Linked DNA regions of Caenorhabditis elegans. The protein of the gene in region 1 interacts with the protein of each later gene in a pairwise test. Each region holds a gene or a part of one and is shown in the gene's direction. Other genes may lie near its edges. The genes, in order: ncs-5, pkc-1 and F08G2.5.

Region 1 (9,825 bases):
TAAGCTTTTTTTTGAAGGTAAATAAGTTTCAAGTCATTTTTCCCCAATTTTCAAAAGTTTTTAGTTGTTCAAACTTTAAAATTTAAAATCAGCGCCTTTTAATCACTCGAAATTATCTTGAAAAACACGAAAAAAAAATTTTGCCCACAGCGGGGGCTCGAACCACGGTCTTGTGATTGGAAGCCGGTGAAAATCCCACTGCGCCATTTGTGCAATATTTGGAGTTTATCAAAAATGACGGAAAATCAAAGAAATTAATAAAATGTGGTGGTCAAGATTACTATTTAAATTTTTAGCTTGAAAAAAAAATAACAGAAATCAGTTTTTCAATTATTTATATCAGTTTTCTATTTTTTTTTCATATTTTTGAAAATTTTTGGGGTTTAAAACTTCAAATTTAAAGTTCGCAACACTTAATTAACCTATAAACACTAAGACAAAAAGTTTTGCCACGGCGGGGGTTCGAACCCCGGTGGTGTGAGTGGTAGGCGCCGAAAATCCCACTGCGCCATTTGGACAAAAATTTTAAAAATGGCGTAAATTGGCGGAAATTAATGAAAAATGAAATTTTGTCTATACTAAACATCTTTTTCTATGTTTTGGATCAATTTTTCTCCCAATTTTTTTCGATTTTAGAACAATTATAGGTTATCCGATATGTGCTCCTCATTTCCTATTCATAAAATTGTTCTCAAGTTACCTTTCAACATTTTCTACATTTTCACACAGAAAACTCTTCAAAAAACAGAAAAAAAGAGCACCAACACATTAAGTTGTAATAGCTCCATTATAGTTGCTCCGCGGAGCAACTATTTGATGACTTTTGAAGGGAAAATGTGTTTTTTTGTTCTTTTTTAATGTTTTTTTACTGGAACATACTTAAAAATAAAGTAAAATTAGTAATATAATAATTTGAGAAAAAATAAGAAAAATATTATTTTCGAAAAAAAAATTCCAAAAATTTTTTTTTCAAAAATTTCAAAAAAAAAAAAAAAAAATTTCACTCGAATTTTTTCATTATTATTTATTTTCTACTTTTATAATTCATCATTCTAAACAATTTTTCAATCAAATAACCCAAAAAAAAACCTACAATTGCAAATTTCCAGCACCCAACGGATGTTTTCAGGCAAAAATGTGTTCTCCCCATTGGCAAGCGAACGGATACGTCGGAGGCCGAGTCAGGTATGCTAATTTGGTTATTTAGTATGTTTTAAAAATTCAAAGCTAATATTGAGAAAAAGTTAAGAGAAAAAATTTTTGCCAAAAAAAATTTTTTTTTTTGGAAATTTTTTTTTCAAATTTTACAAATTTTTGAAAAATGATTTTTTCTCAAAAACTTGATCCATTTTGTGTTATTGTTTCATTTTCACCCCAATTGTATGTTCTTTGTACCCCTTTACGTCACCCAACGGGCCGTGAAGAGGCATTTAGTTATTTATATGACTTTTCGCACCCAATTTCTGACATTCTGTATTTTTTCCAACTTGGGCGGTATTTTTAGCATGATAAGCTTAGTTTTGTTGTCAGTATAGCAAAAAAATTTGAAATAGTGAAAAATTTTTAAGTAAGAAAACTATTGTTTTTTCCACATTTTTCTAAAAACTAAATTTTCGTATTTTCTGGAACTTATTAAGCTTCAAAACCTAAAATTTTCAACTCAGCCCAGTCGGTTTGCCTTAAGAACAATAAAACAAAAAATTTTGCCACAGCGGGGACTCGAACCCCGGTTGTGTGATTGGAGGGCGCCGAAAATCCCACTGCGCCATTCAGACAAATTGTCGAAAATGGCGGAAATTGACTGAATTCGAAAGAAATGTAATATTTAAGGTAGATTTCGTAATTTTTATATATTTTGAGTTTTAAAAATGCAAAAAATATACTATTTAATATAGCATATCGGCAAAGTCAGTCATCTTTGGCCTAAAAACTTCCAAAAAGAGTGTAGTATGTATAATTTTTTTCTTGTTCCACAGACTTTTAGAGATACAACTAATAACCAATGCTACACACCACCACCACAACACCACAAAAGTCGAATAATTAATGACGCTGAAATGAGATAGAAGATGAGAACTTCTTCTTCGCTTTTTTTCTCTATTTTCGCTGCTTTTTTTCGATTTTTTGGTGTGAAAAATGTGGGAAAACGTTGATTTTAAACTAAAATAACCCAAGTTGAAACAAAAAATGTTGGGAAAAAAAAAATAATTTTAGGCCAAATTTTTGAAAAAAACATTTTTTTTCGAATTTTTTGAAAAAAATTTTCCCAAATTTCCTAAATTTTCTCAATTCATTTTCAATTTTCTAGTTTCATAACAAAGCCTAACAGATATTCCACCTCCTGTTCAATGCTCAATCGTAAATCAGAGTCCCCCTCTTTCCTCGGGGGCTCTGATTTCCGAAAAAAAAGGGTCCTATCAAATTTCACAACGTTTTGTTTCATTTCGTCTTTAAACCCGAGTGACAACATAAATTTTATGATTTTCCTGCAAATTTTTACATTTTTTAGTGTTTTTGTAACTTTTGCCCAAATGGCGCAGTGGGATTTTCGGCGACTCCCAATCACAAGACCGGGGTTCAAGTCCGCACGGTGGCAAAAATTTTTTTCCTTGTGATTTTGAGCAGTTTTACGGTTTTTTCGACTTTAAAACCTGCATTTTTTTGGTTTTAAAGGTGCAAAACTTTTAGAAAGGTCGAAATTTTGGATTCGAAATTTTTATCCGAAAATTGTGAAAATTTTATTTAAATTATTAGATTTTTAGAATTAATTTGTGAAATATGGATTGAAAACCTATTTTTCTTATTATTATCATCACTTTCCACCTTTTTTGAAATTTTCGTTTGAATGGCGCAGTGGGATTTTTGCCGGCTCCAATCACAAGACCAGGGTTCGAGTCCCCGCTGTGGTCAAAATTTTTTCTTGTGGATTTTTCGAGTAATTCAAAGATAATTAACTCGAATTTCGAGGTTTCAGACCGCAAAAAGTTTGAGAACTTGTCGAAAAGCGTCTCCCAATACTTCAAATTTCAAATTGGTTGTAGAACTGGTTTTTTTTTCATTTAAACAGAAAATTTACGCTGAAAATGTGTTTACTTGTCAATTATCCCACTTTTTAGCATTTTTCACTATTTTTGAAAATTTTGCCGAAATGGCGCAGTGGGATTTTCGCCGCCTTACAATCACAAGACCGGGGTTCGAGTCCCCGCTGTGGCAAAATTTTTTTTTTGTAATTTTCGAAAAGGTTAAGGACAATTTAAGGGTGGGGAACTTGAATTTTTGTATTTTGTCACGTTAATTTTCAGTTTTTAGAATAAAATTTTAGTTTTTTTTGTATCTTCAAAAAAATTTTTTTCCAAAATTTTTCCTATTATCAATAGAATTTAAACTTGAATTTTTGTAATTTCATACCCAAACGAGCATTCTAACCAAAAAAAGAAGACAATTCCATTTATATCTTTCCAGTTATTTTTTCTTCTATTCAATATCTCTTTTTCCCATTCCAAAAGACACGAAAAGGATATGCGTTTGGCATTTATTCGTTCTTTTTTCTCAAATTTTTGTGTCTAGTGAGTGATGTTTTCTTTTTTCGGCAAAATTTGTTTGGGCTTTCGTACTAAAAACATTGAAAAAAAAATTTTTGAAATTTTTTTTCTATATTATGAAACTTCTTTCCAAGATTTGCACAAAAACTTTAAGAAGATAAATTTTTGATAAAAGCAGCCATTTTCCGCCATTTTCGACAATTTTGTCCAAATGGCGCAGTGGGATTTTCGCCGGCTACCAATCACAAGACCGGGGTTCGAGTCCCCGTTGTGGCACAATTTTTTTTCTAGTTTTGTGAGAGCATATTAGTTGTGTAGAGCTTGAATTTACTAGTTTTAGAATTGTAAAATTTCTAGAAATAGTCGTAAATTTAGTTTCGGTTTTTTTGGTTTTTTGGGAAATGGTTTTTTTTCGAAACGCTGAAAATTAGCTTGAAAATCATATTTCCCATATAAATAATTATATTTCATGCTTGAAACGTTAATTTACTCAATTTTTGCACGACCAACATTATTGAAAAAAAGTTTCCAAATGGCGCAGTGGGATTTTCGCCGACCACCGATCACAAGACCGGGGTTCGACTCCCCGCTGTGGCCCAATTTTTTTTCCGTTTCACTTTGTTTTTTATGTGTAATTTACAGGTTCTCATCTTGAATTTCACAATTTTAAACCTTAAAAATTTGTAAAAAATCGGGAAAATTCGAAAAAATTTCAACTTTTTTTTCAAAAAAAAAAATTTTTTTTTTTCGAGATTAAAAAAAAACACAAAAACAACATTATATATGTGTTTATCTCTCTTTTTTCATCATTTCCCCTCTTATCACCATCTGATATCTCTCAATTGCTCGACCACTATCACTTGTCGTGTCAGCAGGGAGGGGGTGCCACCAGTGCCACCAGTTCTCATCTCTCAACCCTCATTTATCACTGATATCATCACTTGTCTATTACCACTATCACCTATCAGCTATATTCCAACATAAAAACAAGATAAACCCGAAAAAAAATTTTTGGAAAATTTTTTTTTGAAATTATTTTTTTGTGAAAAATGAAAAGTTAAAAAAATGGGCGGAGCCTCATCAATTGACTCGAGACGTGGCGACAGGCCAGGTCGTAAATCTACTATGTTACAGGACCAATATGAGCAAAGTCTCTATCAGATTATAGTAAGTTTAAAATATTTGAAAAAAAAAAATCGAATTTTTTTACGAATTTTAAACTAAATTATCAAGTTGTTCCAAATATTTTTGAAACCTAAAACATTGAAATTTGAGTTCAGCACCCTTGAATTACCCCAAGAACCAAAAAAAAAACTGAAAAAAAAATTTCGACCACAGCGCGGACTCGAACCCCGGTCTCATGATTGGTAGTCGGCGAAAATCCCACTGCGCCACTCGCGCAAAATTTTGAAATTTGTCGAAAATTCATAGAAAATTATGAAAAATCTTGGGTCAAAATTTTCAATTTTTTCCTAAAAAATCCAGTTTTAATACTAATTTTCCATTTTTTGAGAACATCAATTTTAAAACAAGTTGTTCCAGATATTTTTGGAATATCAAGCATAGAAAATTGAGTTTAACACCCTTGAGTTTCCCCAAAAACCAAAAAAAATCTTTTAAAAAAATTTTGCCACAGCGCGGACTCGAACCTCAGTCTCATGATTGGTAGTCGGCGAAAATCCCACTGCGCCACTTGCGCAAAATTTTCAAAAATGCTCAAAAATAATAAAATCTTGTTAAAATTCTAATTTAGCCCTTATTTTCACCTGGTTTCATCAGAAAATCCAGAGTTTTCCGTATTGATTTCCTCTAAAAATTTCCACCTGCTTTCCAATTTTCTAGCTTTCGCCATAACTTTTTTTTCATTTGTTTTATTTTCTTAGTATAAGTTTTCTGATTTTTAGGCTTGTCGGGAAAAAAATTAAAAATGGTTAGTGAATATTAAATATAGAAAAACGAAGAAAAACGAAAAAAAAAAATTGAAATAAAATTTTTACGATTTTTCACGATTTTTCTCACGATTTCAATCTGGAGACCTAAAAATTCAAATCGTACGCTATGAAAAACCACCAAAAAATCAAAACAAAAATTTTTTGCCACAACGGGGACTCGAACCCTGGTCTTGTGATTGGTAGTCGGTGAAAATCCCACTGCGCCATTTTGGCAAAATTTTGAAAAAATTTGGAAAATTACCACAATTAATGATGAAACACGTTCAAAGTTAAAATTTTAGAAAATTTACACTCAGAAATCACATTTTGAAGATATTTTTTAATATATTTAAAATTGAACTTTAAATCTAAAATGTTCAGCTTGTTCAAAAATTTTTTAGGTACTTTTCCGATTTCTGCCCCCCAAAATGTTTTCGAAAATTGCATTATTGAAACGTGAACTTTTTTGTAATTTCAGGCTTAGTATTGTTGTTTTCTAAGCCAAAAAATTAAAATACTATTGAAATAAACATTCACGTGTGAATTAAATTAAATTAAAAAATTGAAAAACATTTTGGGGGGCAGAAATCGGAAAAGTACCATTTTTTAGGCTTTAAAATTTAAAAATTCGAGCTCTCCACATTCAAAATACCATAGTACAATCAAAACAAAAAATTCGCGCCACTGCGGGGACTCGAACCCTGGTCTTGTGATTGGTAGACGACGAAAATCCCACTGCGCCATTTGGACAAAACCGTTAAAAATGCTCAAATTTCCAATTTTATTGATTTTTATCTATATCCGTATAGCTTAGGGGCAATTTTTAGTTTTTTGAAACTATTCTATTTCTCCAAAAATCCAAAAAAAAAAGGTTTTTGAAAATTTTCACCAAACTTTTTTTCTTTGTAAAAAAAAAGGTTTTTTTCCGGATTTTGATTCAATCTTGCTTTTTTTTTAAATTTTTTCACTATAACTCTGTAATTTTCAGTTCGACCGAGCCGTGCACAACGCCTACTCAGAGCCACCAAAACTATTCACCAACTCCATATTCGACACCCTCTTCCACCGCCTGTACTGGTCGATACGGGCGCTGCAATTCAAGATTTTCTACAAAAATGAAGATATGGATCTAGACGAGGTGGTGGACAAATGGGAGATCGGAGTTCAACCACCGTCGTTGGAGCAGTTGACGCAGAGGACACAGTTCAGTCCGAAATGGATAAAGTATATGTATGCGAAATTCAAAAATGTGAGGTTTTCGAGGTTTGGAATATGGAAATTTGAACTCAGCATAGTAAAATTACTCTAGAACAGGAAAACAAAAAAAAAATTTTAAGCCACAGCGGGGACTCGAACCCAGGACTTGTGATTGGTAGTCGGCAAAAATCCCACTGCGCCATTTTGGCAAAATTTTGAAAAACGCTGAAATTTATGGAAATACACAGAAAATACGTTTTCTTTGCAGTTTTTTGAAATTTTGTGGCTTTAAATTCAAAGTGTAGCACTCATTTCTAACTTTTTTCCAGTTTAAAATTTTGAACAATTTTCAACCGTTTCTGAAACTTTTCTGCGCTGAAACTTTTTTTTTTTGAATTCAGCACAGCCGAATTAGCCCAATAACAAAAAATAAAAAAATTTAAGCCACAGTGCGGACTCGAACCCGGGTGTTCAGATTGGTAGTCGGTGAAAATCCCACTGCGCCACTTGGACACTTTTTTTCGAAAAATCCTGAAATTTATTGGAATTGGTAGAAAATACGTTTTTAGGCACTGTTTCAAATTTTAGTGACTCTAAATTCCAACTTTAGAGCTAATTTCAAACTTTTTTCCAGTTTAAAATTTTGAACCCAATTTTCGACCATTTCTGAGATTTTTTCTACGCTGAAACTTAACTTTTTGAATTCGGAACCCAGAAGTTACCCCAAAACAAGAAAATAAAAATTTTTGCCACAGTGCGGACTCGAGCCCAGGTCTTGTGATTGGTAGACGGTGAAAATCCCACTGTGCCATTTTGAAAAAATTGTTTTTTTCAGGAATCACCTACCGGTAAAATGAAAGAAGAAGAATTCCGAAACCTGCTCGCCTCAATAATTGCACCGGAAAAAGCCACGGATCAGTATATTTCAAGGCTTTTTACGGCGTTCGCCGGGGTCGACAAGAAGACTATCACTTTTGAGGTAAGTTTTCTATAGGAAAATCAAATTTTTTTTATTTGAAACTGTGAAATTTGAATTCAGCGTCATTGAATTACCGTGAAAAAAACAAAATAAAAATTTTTGCCACAGTGCGGACTCGAACCCCGGTCTTGTGATTAGAAACCGGTGAAAATCCCACTGAGCCATTCGGACACTTCTTTCAAAAATGCTCCAAAATTGATTTTTAGCGCTTTTCATCAAATTTTTAAGTATTTTAAGTGAATTTTGATAAATGTTAAGTGTTTCAGAACCTTCTAGACAGCCTTTCCCATGTACAGCCTCAGACCGCCGAGACTAATGCCAAATGGACAATGAGATTGATAACTGGGGGTGGAGAAGGCGATTGTTTTGGATATTCAGCTTTTTTGGACTTTACCCAGTCAGTATTCCAGTTGAATGAAGGAAAAAGTAAGAATTTTTACAATTTTTGAACAAAAAAAATTTTTTGAATAAAAAAAAATTCTCAAATTTTTTTTTCCAAATTTTTTTGAACATTTTTTTAGGCGGAGGTGAAGAAATCAATAAGGAGTCCGTCCAGCAAAGAGCCACAAAAATATTCGCCGAACTGGATTGTGATAGGGATGGATTAGTGACCTATGACGATATGATCCGGTTCTTTCAGGTGGGTGAATTTCGAATTTTGGCTGATTTTCGTGAATTTTTGTCAAAAAATTCGGATTCTACGCAAAAATTCCGTTAATTTGAAACCCATATTGACTAGGTTTCAAACATTTTTAAAGTCTGGCCGTTTTGGGCCGGATTGGGCCGAAATAGGCCAAAATGTGAAGTTTCTACCATTTTGGGTGTTAATTTGTTTGAAAATTTAAATTTTAACAAAATTTCAATTTGTTTTCACAAAAATTGCCCATTTTCAAAATTTTTAGGTGTTTGGGCCGTTTTAGACCTAAATAGGCTTTTTTTTAGGCCAAAATCATTAGTTGCTCGGCAAACAGTTCCATGAGTTAAATTTATGTTTAGTTTTGGTTTATTTCTATCTGTGTTAACACATAAATCAAGAGTGTTGGAGTTTCAGGCTTTTCAGGCCATTTCAGGCCGAAATAGGCCCAACATTTTAGATTTTCATGACTTTATCGGTACGAACACAAATTTGACGCGTTACGGTGTTAGTATAACATTCACAATGCCTTGTTTTCACAAAATTTGTATTGTAGCCTTTTCAGGCCGTTTCAGGCCGTTTCAAGAAGCCCGAAATACAAATTTTGCGAAACCCAGTCGATATGGGTGTCAAATTAACGGAAATTTTACAAGGATTTCAAATTTTCAACTCATTTTTGTTTCAGAAAAACAACGATTCAAGCATCGGCTTCACTCCGGTCTCCCCAGCTCCGAATGGATTTGCCAACTGTGCCAAGCCTCTTTAATCGAAAAAGTGATTTAACCCTTGATATAACATTCCTTTATCTGTAGATCTCATGTTCAACTTTATTTGTGTGGTTTTTTTTCCATGCCAAAATTAAGATTTTTCAAAATTAAATAAAAATTGGTATATTTTAAAAAATTTAATTTTAAAACCGAATTTTCGACTTGACAAATCAATTTCTGAGCTTTGTAATGTTGAAATTTGGATTCTGTGTGTTTTAAATACCCCAAAAAAAAGTTAGGAAACATTTTTGCCACAGTGAGGACTCGAACTCCGGTCTTGTGACTGGATGTCGGCGAAAATCCCACTGCGCCATTTGGACACTTTTGTCAAAAAATGCCCACAGATCATTTTTTGCATTTTTTTTATAGATATATACAAAGCGTGCAAGTTTTTCAATTTGTGATGAAAAAATCAGTATTCGAAAAAAAATAAATAGACTTTTTAAATTTTAATTTTAAAACCGAGTTTTCAACTTTTCAAATCAATTTTTGAGCTTTGCAATGTGGAAATTTAGATTCAGCGTGTTTGAAATACTTCAAAAAAAATAGAGAAATTTGTGCCACAGTGGGGACTCCAACCCCGGTCTTGTGATTGGAAGCCAGCGAAAATCCCACTGCACCAGTTGGACACTTTTTTTCAAAAAATGCTCATAAATCATTTTTTTGCATATTTTATAGATATTCACAAAGCGTGCAAATTTGGCTTTTTAATGCTAAAAATCAGTAATCGAAAAAAAAAAATAAATTCACTTTTTAAATTTTAATTTTAAAACCG
Region 2 (7,910 bases), 6.8 Mb from region 1:
TCACATTTAGATTCAATTTATGCTCATGGTGTTGAAGCAATGGATGAATTTGAAATTCAAAAGTATACTTCATAGCTGGATATTAGTGATTATTATATGAAATTTCAGAATGTTCGCAAATTTCCGCCCCGAAAAAGTCTGGAAGAAAGATAATGTTGCAATGGTCCAGTTTCAATATAGAAGAGATGTAGCAGCGGTATTTTTCTATTATTTTTTTTTGTTATTTCAATAAATTTTTTTAGATGATGTTAAATATGTCGAAGATGATGCGTCGTGTACGTGGACGTAAGAAGGCCGACGAGGAAGGTGAGGTATTGTCCGATGATGATGACGTTGAAGAAGGCCAGATTATGCAGGAAAAAGATGATGACGTCGAACTGATTGAGGATCTTAAGCCGAACGGTATGTTGATGACACAGCTGAAATTAAGAGAGAGAGAGATGTTTGAACAAGCGTCGGCTGTCAATAGGCACTGCTTTGATTATTATTATTATATTGCAAAACAGAAGAGAACTGATTGCTTTCGTTTGAAAATCAAATGCGAAAGCTGAGCACTGGTTGAATTTAGGGAGACCCAGTATACATTATTACTAATAAACAAATTTCTGCTAAGAGATACACAAAATGAGCGTATGTTTGGAATGTTTATAGCTTTCTCAATTTTGGTCGAAATAAATGAAAGAAGAATGTAACTTTAATTTCAATAGATCTATATAAAATATTTTATGATAGAAATTAATCAGTATGTATCGCCTACGCATTCTCATTGGTCCTACTCTACATTCATATGCAAAACAAATTAAAAAGAATAATAGTACTCGAAAAAGAATGGAGAGTGTGTTGTGTTAGTTTAATGTTTCTATCTCAATCCGTCATTCTGACGGTTAATAATACCGCTTACATTGTCATTATTAGTTTTCCCCTTTCTACTACTACTACACAGTTGGGTCGTTGTTCACACCGTATCCAATCGAGAGGATAACCCCTTTCTACTACTTCTCTGTCATATAGTAGATCGCGTCGATATGTTTGTATGTTCTTTTGTCGTCGATCCTTCTCGATTGACGATTGACCGACGCGTGTTATGTTTCCCATTCTGTTTAGGGGAGAATCGACCCGTTGTTTTGAAATGGAGCAGTCACCAGTAGCCGCACAATGAAGTAACAGGATACTGGGTCAACTCGCATCATTCACTTCCCTACAATGTCGAGCAATGTGTAACCTAGATGATCTGATTTAGGGATCATCATGTGTATTTCAGATACAGAATTATTATATTAAAATTTAAATATGAAGCAGCTTAATTTGGAATTTTGCTTAGGAAAATCAAAAATGTCACAGATGCAGAAATACCACAGAAGAAAAACATAAAAATCCCAAAATAATGGAAAATCCTTCTATTAAGAAAAACGCTATTTTAAATTTCAGAACTTCCTGTATGAATTCCCTCTAAAATAAGAGGACTCGCCCACTTGCGGGTCAATCAGAAATTTTGATCACCACGCAATCCGTCTAATTGGTTTAAAAGTGGGCCGAGCGAATCGCTGATTGGTCGCAATTCTTATTTTGGAGGGAATTCAAACAGGGAATGTAACATCGCGTTTTTTTTTCAAAGTAGGATATTCATTATTTCACGATTTTTTATTCGTGTTTCCTTTCTGGTGTTTCTGAATTTGAGACTTTTTTGGATTTTCCTAAGCAAAATTCCACGCTACTCCACCTTTAAAAAATATACTTATCTCCCCTAACTTTGATAATATTGTTTTCCATACTCATCCACATAATCATATTAAAATTGTCCAATAAAAGACCTCCCATCAGAGGTGTCGTAGATGAGCACGAGGGTAAATATAGAGTTGATGGGAGGACAATGAGTATGGTGTGGATGAACGGATGTAATCGAGTTTGCTTATGCGATTATTCTGCTTTTGACATTTCATTCTTTATTATGAGGCTTGAGTAGGCAAACAAGCAACTAGTCTTCAAATCTTTGATGAAGAAAAATAGATCAGAAGATCTTAATAATTTCAAAATGTTTTCAGAAAAAGGAATCGTCGCAAGTGAGAAGAACAACGAATTTATTACTGTAGACATAAATGCTCGCGAGGTTCCAAATGGAAAATGGAGAGTATTAACAAAACACGTTCCAGCCAACATGTTCGTCATTATTCGATATGCAACGACGGATGAATATCAGGTTGAAAATGAATTTACTATAAAAAAAAACAAATGTTTCCTATTTAAGACAATGGTAACATCAGATCGGAGTCAAGTTAAAAAGACCGGCGTAAAACGTGGAAATGATTCGTTTTGGACACATGAGTCATCAAATCGTGGAGGATTGAATGTATTCGATAAAGAAGGAAAAGAACTCGAATGGGATTATGAGCATGATACAAGATTTTACAACGAAGATAAAAATGAGGAGAAAGTCGAGAAAGTGAAACTTCCACAGGGAATCAAAATTAAAGTGAGTTTTTGAATTCAAATAATTCATTAACGGTAGAGTAGATTCGATTTGGAATTTGCTTTAAATTATAGAAAATGAATCATAATGTAACAGAATATAACTGTTAAAAAAATGTTTAAGATTTTATTTTCACTTTTGCAAAAATTTGAAAATTGGCTAATTATTTTTGAATTCCCACGCAAGTTAATGACCTAGTTTTGACATTTCGGCGTTTTCTGGTTAAATTAATTAGGGTTAATAGTTTCTCTTCTCAATATTTCAGATTAAAAAACACTAAAGAAGTTTCTGCGAATTTCTTTCATTAAGTTAAGTTCATTTTCTTGCGCGGAAATTCAAAAATAATTAGCCCATTTTTATGATTTGCAAAATTGAAAATATCATTAAAAAAATTTAGAAAAAATTATATAATTTTTTAGCAATTATTTTCAGTCATTACAGAGAAGGAATATGCAAAAGAAGTGATGAAATTTGTAGAATGTTCCTATTTTGTAGATTTTTTAGTTTCAGCAGGTATTCAACATTAAACTCGATTTGCTTTTTTAAATGGTTATTTATGATATCTCATCGTTCCTGCAGTACCTTAGTTCTAGAATATTTCAAAAATCAGATTTATTTAAATTTAATTTCAAATACCATATTTCTTTTATATTGTTAATTTCCCAAAAGTATTGCGGTTTTTATGTAGAGATTCGATCAAATTGTTTTGATTATTGTGTCACAAAGATAGTAGTTATATGTTTTTTTCTGCAAATTACGAAAAATTAATGTGAATACTAAAACGGTCTAGTTTTTGAGTGGATCTCTCAACAAAACATAGTTAACTGAAGAAATGCATTATTTATGATCTTATATTTTTCACAAAATACTCACAAACTCTAAAATGTTATAAAATAATTTTCAGGGTCGAGGAGCTGTGAAATGCGGATTTCTTTTCGGCGAGGGAAGTAGTTCGTTAGCTTCTGATGACACCACTCCAGTCAAGAAACGGAGAACTGATGAAAAAGATTACGAAAAGGATGATATCGTATCACGGCAAGGGTCTTCTGCACACGCCATACGACCTGGAAGAGTTGAACGTCCAATTCGAGAACGGATTCAATTTCCTGGAAGAGAAGATCCAGATGAATATTAACAATATCTCACCACAAACTGTATTTGTTTTTTTAATTTCTCACAATGACCAGATAAATTTATTTGTTTCCATGTTTTGTTATGTATTTTATTTTCTATGAAGCTGTCGGTCGCTTCTATTATACTTTGATCCAGACGATCTTATTCTCAAAACTTACCATTTTTTCAGTAATTTCACGGGTCAATATGTCATAAAATGGTAAGGAGCATGACAAACTGACAAGCAAAAGAATGTTAAATTTTTATTTCAGAAATTCTTCAGTAGTCGGACAATATCATCTGGAGGATTTTGGGGTAAAAATAAGAATAAATACGCGTTGAATGGAAAAGTTTCACCAAAGGATTCAGTGTTGTTAAGGAAGAGGAGGAAGATTATATCAAGACGGTATCGCAGGTTAGTTTTTAATTTATTTTATAAAACTGGGAAATTCTTTGCAAATTTTTTCCGCATAGTTTCCACAGAAAACAATGATTTAGTCAATATCGGTGTTCTTCCTGATTTCTCTCGCTTTCCTGAATGTCTCGCTTTGTTTCAAAAATCTTTTGAAATTCGTTTGTAGTCAAAAAGTGGCAAAAACTCAGTTTTCGCCTAACATCATTTTCGAAGTCGATCAAAAATTCTCTCGTACGAGTTTATATTTTAATTGCGTTAGAATTGTTCGTATTTGAACATTGTAAATTTTAGACCTTGTAGGAATGTTTACAATTTCTCAAAAATCCAACAAAATTGGCAATTTACCAAAAACTGTGGATGGGAATTTTTGAAGTGTTTAATTGTGATATTTGGCCATGTTAGACTAGTATAAGTGTATTTAGGTAAATTCCTCACTGAAAATGTTCCAGCTTTTTTAATCAATTAGAAAGTAATTTTGGAATTTGGCTCAGTAGCTCTTACTGTGTATCATGGCCCGACATCTACCGGGTTGCGCCACTTCTGTGTGTTTTCGAAAAGATTCGCGGAACCCGGTAAATGTCGGACCATTAGTATATAGTAAGACACACTCATTTTTAAGACCCCTCTTTTAATTTAAATATTTTTCCATTGCTTCTTGAGAATCTGAATTTAAATATCTTTCGCTAATCTGAAATTTAAGCGCAGGTGAAATTTTTCGTGAGTATCGTGTTGAATTAAGTGAAAAACGTTATCACCTGTTTCTGCCAAACACTCAAAAATGGTGATAATTGTAATGAGGCAAACTCCAATTTATAATTAAATTTCTCATAGAGAACTATTGTTATAAGTTTATAGAACTATAGTATTTATCTCGTAAATTTGGATAATTTGCAAAGATTGTAAGAACAATTTAGTTTCATAATGAGATAATACAATTTTTGTTACGTTCTCGATCTGTAATTTCTCTCATCTCATCCGGATAAATGAAATAAGAGGAAAACCGATTCAAAGACGACGTCCAACGTAAATTTGCTTCCTTCATTTCTTTTTCTCCCCATAACTGAGAGTTTTGTGCATAAAAAAGTAGCTGTTGAAAGGCGCAATTCGAAGAAAAATGCGAGAGGGAAACAAGCTGTTGCTCTCTTGCTCTTTCTTTTTTCCTTTCTCACTTCCTTTAGATCTTGTTCGTTCAGTTAGCTCCCAGCCTCTCTCTCTCTCTCTTCCGATTCACTTCACTCACTTAAAAATGTATTCATATGTACCATAAAACTATTTTTCGTCACACTAAATGCAGCCCATGCGCTGAACTTTTTGCAACTTCACACTCAAAATTCTCTTTTTTTTTTGTTCTCGTCATCAGTTTTTCGCCGCTGGCTCTACCGGAATCTCTCGATGAAAAGATTTTTTACTTCGAGTATAGTGAGCTCCCTTTTCTTTTCTATTTTAGCTTAAGGCGGCGGCAAATTCTGTATACAAAATAGAGACGCATAGAGAAATGCAAAAAAGGAAGAAGAGGAGCGGCAAAAATGCAGATTTTTCTCATCAACTGCTCGTGAGACCGAGCATTCAAGCATCACATTTGTTGAGATGGTCACGGTGTTGAAATACTTTTTTTTGTTGTTATATCGAGATAGAGTTGTATACAGAATGGAAATTAATCTGATATTTAGAATAAAAAGTGCTAGTTTTTAGTCAATTTTACGTTGTTCTGATTTATTACATCGACGATCCTTGATGCCAAACTAGAGATTTTCGAATGTGCATTGGGCAAAATATCTCGTAGCGAAAACTACAGTAATTCTATGAATGTGTCGATTTATGGCCTCGATTTTTGAAATGAATTTATTTTCAAACAGTAAGTAACATCGATATTCCCATTTCTTTTGTTTCTTCGGATTGTTTTCTTTTTATTTTGCTTAATTAAAAAAAACTATCGATAAATTAATGATTTTAATTCATTTCAAATATCGAACCCGTAAATCGACACAAGGGCTACAGTAGTCATGTAAAGAATTACTGCAGATTCCGCTACGAGTTATTTTGCGCGTCAAATATGTTGTTCAATACGCATTCTCAGAATTTTGTGTTCCAGTAATACTAGGAGCGAAAAAAAGCACAATGTAAAAAAACAACTTGTGTGCCTTGTTTCCCGCTAGAAATATATAGTAAATACGCTTTCGATCCAATTCCTACGATATTTGTTTGACAGCCGGGTGTTCGTTGTCATTGTTGCAGAAACAAACGCCCACTGGCCAGCACTCGTCATAGTATTCGAAAAGTTTTGGGAATTAGAACATTTTTTTCGATTGCTATCTCTCTGAAACGCAGGTACCGGTCTAGGTGTCGGAATTATTCAAATCACTTCAACCATCACCACCATCATCATCACTGTTTGAGTGCGACAGTACACATTCTATTATTGCAACGGATTTTATTTGCCAGTCAATTAAAAAAAAAATTCACTCAACAGTTATTTTAAGATCACTGTCAATCTCAATAGTTCTGATTAGTACTTATTGAGTTTTTTGGCACTGTATTTTAAATATGATCCTTTAAAAAAAGGGAAAACTGTAAAATTATTATGATTCGAAATTATAATTATATGGTTTCTCAGAAGTGCAATGTATAAATTGTCAAGTACGAGTTATATCTAGTTATGGTAAGTTTATCTGATTATACAAGATCACTGAAATTTGTAGAATAATAGGTATTACGATAACATTCATTTTTTACTAGCTAACATTATGTATGTTTCTGCACAAAACATTAGTATTACGCATACAAAGACATTTTTCGGTGAAGTGTTCTCAAAAACTTTTTTTGCTAGGAAACAGTATCCATGAAACAAGTGAAGCGCGGCGCGGAGTAATGCTGGGCTCCGACATTTTGTTAGCTTTCTTTAGACTCAAGTAAGCACAAACTATTCAATTCTATCACATCTGCGAATACTCACTATTTTTGTAATGAATTTTCTCAATTTCAAAAGGAAGAAACTAGGAAAATCATCAGAGATTTCAAATATGACTCCGAGAAAAAATATATTCATGTAGGTTTCTATGTTCGTTTTGTGGTTTTCTTTTGCGTTGGTTCGAACGTTCAAAGATCCTTTGTTCATCTAAACTGATCCATTCACTAGCACCAATTGCTGGTCCGTAGTCCCTTTTTCTCATGGACGTCCAATGTAACTTTTTTCTTTTTTATTTTTCAAACTGCGCGAAAACACGGACTCATTTCTGTTTCCCTCTCTTTCTCTCTCTTAAATATACACTCACACATATACACATCCACATATACTCGATTTTCCACGTCATTGGGTTTAGCTGAAAAGATGGGCTCTCTTCTGTCCTTCGAGGAAGAGCATTTTCATAATCTTATTCGTCTTCAACTTTACTTTTGATCTTTAAGAACAAAAACAACAGTCTGTTAAGTATATTGATATATTGTGTGTTTTTTAAAACATAGGTATACGAAATTCGTTCTTTTATCGTTGATCCCATTGCATATTGTTCACACCTCCTCTTACTTCATTTCCGGGTAGATCAGCACAGGATTAATGTACACAACGACTGCGACTCTTTTCAAATAGTCGCCCTTGTTGTCATCGACGTCGTTGGTCGTCAATGACGGTCGCGTCATCGTGGCTTTAGAATCAAATTGTTGGAATACTATGGATCTCATATGTAGATGATATCTCTTTCTCCCCCATCCTCAACGAGTTCCAAAATATCTATCAAATTGGATGAGTTTTCACCGGATGTATCAAGTAGGAAAAGCTTTTAGCCTTTAATTTCTAACGCTGGAGACGTTAGAGTCTTTAAAATTAGTTCATCGTTTAATTTATAAAATTCTTAATTCTAAAATTTTTGGAGCTATTCTTCTCAAAGATATTCCGTTGTTCAACATTGAGACATGTTA
Region 3 (6,099 bases), on another chromosome or scaffold:
TTTAGTTTTGAAAAATAGAATTTTGTCTGAATTTTTTTTGCTCTAAAAATGCCAAAATTTGGCTGAAAATTTCGCTAAAAATGTCACAATCCGGATGACAATTTTGCTCAAAAATGTCAAATTTTGGTTGGAAGTTGCGCTCAAAATGATAAAACTTGACTGAAAATTTGCTTAAAATTGCCAAAATTTGACAGAAAATGTTTGCCAAAAATATCAAAATTTGGCTAAACTTTTTGCCAAAAATGTCAAAATTTGGTTGTAAAATTTGCTCAAAAAATGCCGAAATTTGACAGAAAATTGTGCTCAAAAAATGTCAAAATTTGGCCTAAATTTAGGCCAAATACTTTAAAGTTAAAATTTGGCTGGAAATTTTTCTCCAAATCGACGATTTTTCAGATAATTTTCACGTGTAGCTCCGGTTAAAAGTTAAACATTAAAATCTTCCCTAACAAATTTTGCTCAAAAATGTCAACATTTGACTGAAAACATGGCTCAAAAATGTCGAAATTTGGATGGAAATTGTGCTCAAGAATATCAAAATTTGGTTGAAAATTTTGCAATTGCGCTCCAAAAATGTCAAAATTAGGCTTAAAATATTGCCCAAAAATACCAAAAATTGGCTCAAAATATTGCTCCAAATCGACGTTTTTTCTAAAAAATTTCACGTGTAGCTCCGGTTAAAATTTGAAATTTCAATTTTCCCTAACAATGATGCTCAAAAATGTCAAATTTTGCATGAGAGTATTGCTCAAAAACGGCAAAATTTGGCTTAAAATTTTGCTCCAAATCGACGATTTTTCTGAGAATTTTGCTCAAAACTTTTGAAATTTGGCTAGAACTTTTGCTAAAAATGTCGAAATGTTTGCACTTTTTTCTTCAATTTTCCCATTTTCCAGGCGAATCCCTAGTCCCAGCAAGTGACGTCAGCTACCTGGCTCCACTTGTTCCGGCTCCGCCAACCCTTCCACTTCTAGAACTCAATACATCTCAAGGCCCATCAACTTCTGGAATTTCACAGCAAAATCCACAACAATCGAGCTCAAGCTTCTTCCATGATGATGATGAAGATCAGGATGAGACGAAGAACTTCCGTGATGAGGAAATCGAGTCTCCAAGGTGTCATGGCTCGACGAGCACACTGAAAAATGATGAAGAAGCTGCTGAGCTCTCGGATTTCCTGAGTAAATCCAATTTGACAACTCTTGAAGAGGTGAGTTTTGGTGGAAATTTAAAATTTTCCGCTTGAAACAATTATAATTACTTTCAGGGCAAGGACTCCGGCTTCAGCACGACTCCAGACGACGCCAAAGAGCCCGAAAAAGTTGCAGCTAATTAATAACGTTTCCCCAACAGTTTCTCCCCCCGATTACACGTGTAAAAATCCTATGGACTTTCGAAATTATTCACTTCACCGAGTTCTAATATTTAATTTATTGATTTTTCTTTGAACTTTTCATATTTTAATTAATTTATTATATAAAGATTTTTAATTAATTCAAAGACATACCTAATTGTCTTTCTTTTCTAGGCCACGAAACAAAGAGTGCTCCACGCGCACCCACGAGTTGTCGGTACACAGCTCCCCACTACCCCTACCCTCTCCTCCATTCAGTATCGCTTCTTCGGCTTATTAGCTAAGATCAAAGTGTAGTATCTGTTCTTATCGTATTAACCTACGGTATACACTCGAATGAGTGTAATAAAGGTTATATGATTTTTGGAACCTAGGGAAGACTCGGGGCTTGCTCCGACTTCCCAAGGGTCGTCCTGGCGTTGCACTGCTGCCGGGCTCGGCCCAGTCCCCGAGGGGACAAAATAAGCTTGCAGAATAGTGAAAAATCAATTTTCAAAAAATAAAGTATAGTTGTTAAATAGACATTCAATTTTAACTTGGCCTTTAAAAACTATAAGAAAAGTCACTCAACTTATTCCCAAATTGACACTCCACGTAAAAGACGTGACCCATAGGTCATAATTGTAAGCATTTCCCTCCCCCCCCCCCACTCAAAATCGAAAACAAAATAAGAATCATACCTCAACTCTCATCCCGAACCGGATAGACGATTGAACACCATGGCTGCTTTCCTGCCAATTGCCTTGAGCATTGCTATGCTCACCGTGCTCACCAATGCCAATCCAATTCACCCGGTCCCAAATGCGGCCTTCCTTCCCTATCGTTCCTGTGGATCCCATCTTGTTCATCGCGCTTTTGAAGCTTGCAGTGGGAAGAAAGGTATGTTATTATATCATTCTTAGCAGGTTAAAACCGAATCATCGCTTTTCAGATCGCAGCAGTGATGTGGATCTTTGGAAGATGTGCTGCAAGGACGAGTGTACCGATCTGGACATCAAGGAGTCTCTGTGCAAGTACGCTTCGCAAGGATATGGAGTAAAGTTTGAGGAGGAAGCCGAAGAAATCGATATGGTCAGCTTTGCGGCGGAGGGTTTTAAAAAGAGCTGTGGACATGATATTGTTGTGAAGACAGTCAATGTACCGACGAAAATATCATTGAAGCAATGTGCCCGAACAAGGGGGTGGCGCCGGCGGCGGCCTAGAAGAATCCCGGACAAGTTCAATCGAGTGCAAAACTATGCCTGTATTAATTGTGTAAAAATAAAGTAATGTATGTATAATATATGTGGATTTGAATTACTAGCGCAAAATTTTAACTGATTTCACAACTATTGCAAGTGCGCTCCATTGAAACGCCACTTATCAACACACCGTCGTCCACTTAACAGACCGTTGGTATATATACTCTGTTGATAGAAGGTTTTTTATCAGGCATAGGTCCGGAGTCGGTGGGTTATCTGAAGAAACCACCCCATCGGCAACAACTTGACTTCCTGTTTTGCATTGTTGGAATTTGGTGGGCAAGTTGATTAGAAAGAAACGTTTAATTTTAGTTAGGCATTTTTCAATTAAATTCGAAAAATAATAAAAATTACAGAAACAAAATAAGATTTCGTATATATAGGCTTGAAATGCAGATTTTTTAAAATAGATTTTTTCAAATCATTAGTCAATTTTTTACCCAAAAAATTACACCTTACATAAAGTTGTTTGACACAGTCTCCTAATTATCGAATTGCGGTGGAGCGCATTTTGTACACTACTAGAGACCCAGAGAAACCCACCACCATTCCTCGAGAAACGTCCACCGCTTGCATTGCCTCTAGTATATATACTTCCTCCTCCCCAACAGTTTTCGAATTCCTGCGGTCCGGATCGTATGGGTTATCAATTCTCAACCACCCCATACGAACTAACTTGACTACCGGAATTTTGCAATTTTTGATAAAAATTACTTGTTTTTGTAGTATGCAAATTAAATATAAAATTTATTATTATTTGTATTTTTTTAAAAATAAATTCGTGTGTCAATAATGAGTTTCTATTTTTGAAACTTTAAAGCACGACAAAGATGGGTCCTGCTGCGCAAAATACAATTTTAGGACGTTTTTTATATAAATTTATAGCATAAATTTTACTATAGAGATATAAGAGCTATGAATTCAAAAATGTTCTCCTTCTAGAGTTATGTAATTGCCCCAGTTTTGCCGGAAATTTCAATTCCGGCAATTTTACGATTTACCGGAAATTTCAATTCCGTCAATTTGCCGGTATGCCACAACTCCAATTCCGGCAATTTGATGATTTGTCGGAAATTTTAAATTTTGTCACTTTGCCGGTATGCCGAAAATGTCCAATTCCGGTAACTTTCAAGTTTGCCGGAAAATTTCAATTCCGCAATTTGCCGATTTGCCGGAAATTTTCAATTCCGGCAATTTTCCGATTTGCCGGAAAAAAAATTTGCAAAAAAATTTGCAAATTCCTTACTTTTTGACCTCTGAAAATTGCGGGAAACATAGACTTCTATGTACTTCCAGAAATGTTCTGTGTGACCCCAATTTTCGGAGATCAAACGGCAAGGAGTTCTCCTCAAATTTGGCAATACTACACACATATCGTCATCAATATTTGCCCACCTTATCAAAGTCATGACTAATTTCGAAACTCTTCGAAATAATTCGAAACTATTCGTCAACAAAACCCACCTATAAAACCAGCACCTCTCACCTTGAAGAGCATCTCATTTACAATGAGAAAGCTCAGCACTCGTCCACTTCCTCTTGGAGACGGATTCTTCGACTCGTCATCTGATAGTTCAGAATCTGAACTTTCAGATAAGGACGATGAAGATAGATATTCCGACTCCACGGTTTCCACGTTAACTTCTCAAGATCGTAGAGACACCCAAGGGTGTCAATATCCACGTTCTTCGGAACTTCCGATCTCTGAATCTCCAGCTCCACGAGCTCGACGAGCTCGTAAACAGAGATCGAAGAGAAAGTCGGTGAAACCTCCGAACACTTCGTCTGACGACTCTTCTGATGACTCTGATGATTCTTCCTCGTCCTCTTCTTCCGATGACTCGGTGAGTTCTAAATCATCAACCAATTCCAGTGACTCCTCGCCATGCCGTTGTCGAGATGGGCTTGCCGAGTGGGAGCAGCGTCATGGGAGACGATGGCATCCGTATGGAAGAAATGGAACGTGGGAACCATACCGCAATCGTCGTCGCGGGATCTATGATTGTGAGAACTCGCCGAGAGAAACTTATTCGAATGGAGCTTGAATTTTTAAATGTAAATATTTGTTTTTAGTTTAATTGTATTCTATTTCATTTTTGGTATCCTATATCTTGGTTTAAATAAGTGATATCGAAAAGTGTTCAACTACAAAATTATTGAAAAAGGCATCAGCAATATTTTGTTTGTTGGTAGTTTTTCGATAAATCTTAAAACAACCGGGATATGACCATTTAAGTGTGTTGTCTATTTATTGTTGTGTAAAAATAAATAATTTGTATTTTTCGAATTTGTGTTTTGTTCTTTATTATTAAATTAAAAAACCAAATAATAAGAAAGAGGTCATATAAAACTGTTGCCGGAATTAAAATTTCCGGCAAATCGGAAAATTGCGGGAATTGAAACTTCCGACAAATTGGAAAATTGCCTGAATTGAAATTTCTGGCAAATCGGCAAAATTGCCGGAGGATTGAAATTTCCGACTAATCAGAAAATTGCCGGAATTGAAATTTCCGGAAAATCGGTGAACCGGCAAAATTGAAAATTTCTGACAAATCGCCAAATTGCCGGAATTGAAATTTCCGGAAAATCGGTGAACCGGCAAAATTGAAAATTTCTGGCAAATCGCCAAATTGCCGGAATTGAAATTTCCGATAAATCAGCAAATTGCCGGAATTGAAGTTTCCGGAAAATCGGTAAACCGGCAAAATTGAAAATTTCTGACAAATCGCCAAATTGCCGGAATTGAAGTTTCCGGAAAATCGGTGAACCGGCAAAATTGAAAATTTCTGGCAAATCGCCAAATTGCCGGAATTGAAGTTTCCGATAAATCAGCAAATTGCCGGAATTGAAATTTCCGGAAAATCGGTAAACCGGCAAAATTGAAAGTTTCTGGTAGTTCGCCAAATTGCCGGAATTGAAATTTCCGGAAAATAGGCAAGTTGCCGGAATTGAAGTTACTGATAAATCAGCAAATTGCCGGAATTGAAATTTCCGATAAATCAGCAAATTGCCGGAATTGAAATTTCCGGAAAATCAGCGAATTGCCAGAATTGAAATTTCCGGAAAATAGGCAAGTTGCCGGAATTGAAATTTCTGATAAATCAGCAAATTGCCGGAATTGAAATTTCCGGAAAATAGGCAAGTTGCCGGAATTGAAATTTCTGATGAATCAGCAAATTGCCGGAATTGAAATTTCTGGCAAGTCGGTAAACCGGCAAATTGCCGATTTGCCGGAAAAACGGAAATTGTCGAAAATTTTCGGCAATTTGTGGTTTTGCACATTTTTTTAAATTTCAGAACTTCAATTTCAGCCGGCAAAATTTTACGCATCCTGTAAATGTTCCTACACCTTTTTTAAAAAGTAAGAAAAAAAAACGGGAAAAAAATTTCAAAAAAGCACAGTTTTCAGTGTTTCCGTCTTATAAAAAAGCCCTCTAAAAACTTCCGGCAAATTGATATCCGGCAAACGGCAAATCGGCGATTTGCCGGAAGTTATCATTTCGG

What was found.
Region 2: the proteins of ncs-5 (region 1) and pkc-1 interact in a two-hybrid assay, tested with the Caenorhabditis elegans proteins (one large-scale study listed by BioGRID).
Region 3: the proteins of ncs-5 (region 1) and F08G2.5 interact in a two-hybrid assay, tested with the Caenorhabditis elegans proteins (one large-scale study listed by BioGRID).

The regions. Positions count from the first base shown.
Region 1 is NC_003283.11:18,822,240-18,832,064, forward strand, and holds ncs-5 (EF-hand domain-containing protein), read left to right. Parts: upstream 1-4,502; 5' UTR 4,503-4,607; coding exon 4,608-4,709; intron 4,710-5,636; exon of another isoform or gene 5,637-5,707; intron 5,708-6,461; coding exon 6,462-6,722; intron 6,723-6,808; exon of another isoform or gene 6,809-6,879; intron 6,880-7,505; coding exon 7,506-7,649; intron 7,650-7,915; coding exon 7,916-8,075; intron 8,076-8,170; coding exon 8,171-8,289; intron 8,290-8,968; coding exon 8,969-9,049; 3' UTR 9,050-9,183; downstream 9,184-9,825.
Region 2 is NC_003283.11:12,028,019-12,035,928, reverse strand, and holds the start of pkc-1 (Protein kinase C), read left to right. Parts: upstream 1-3,797; coding exon 3,798-3,800; intron 3,801-3,852; coding exon 3,853-3,995; intron 3,996-7,910. Other genes in the region: Protein kup-1, read left to right, coding at 1-62, 109-196, 243-402, 2,043-2,197, 2,246-2,470, 3,372-3,602. UniProt on the Caenorhabditis elegans protein: PKC is activated by diacylglycerol which in turn phosphorylates a range of cellular proteins. PKC also serves as the receptor for phorbol esters, a class of tumor promoters. Involved in neuropeptide secretion in motor axons.
Region 3 is NC_003280.10:13,831,636-13,837,734, reverse strand, and holds F08G2.5 (WW domain-containing protein), read left to right. Parts: upstream 1-4,103; coding exon 4,104-4,640; downstream 4,641-6,099. Other genes in the region: F08G2.7 (uncharacterized protein), read left to right, coding at 897-1,210, 1,268-1,336; ins-37 (INSulin related), read left to right, coding at 2,074-2,233, 2,286-2,623.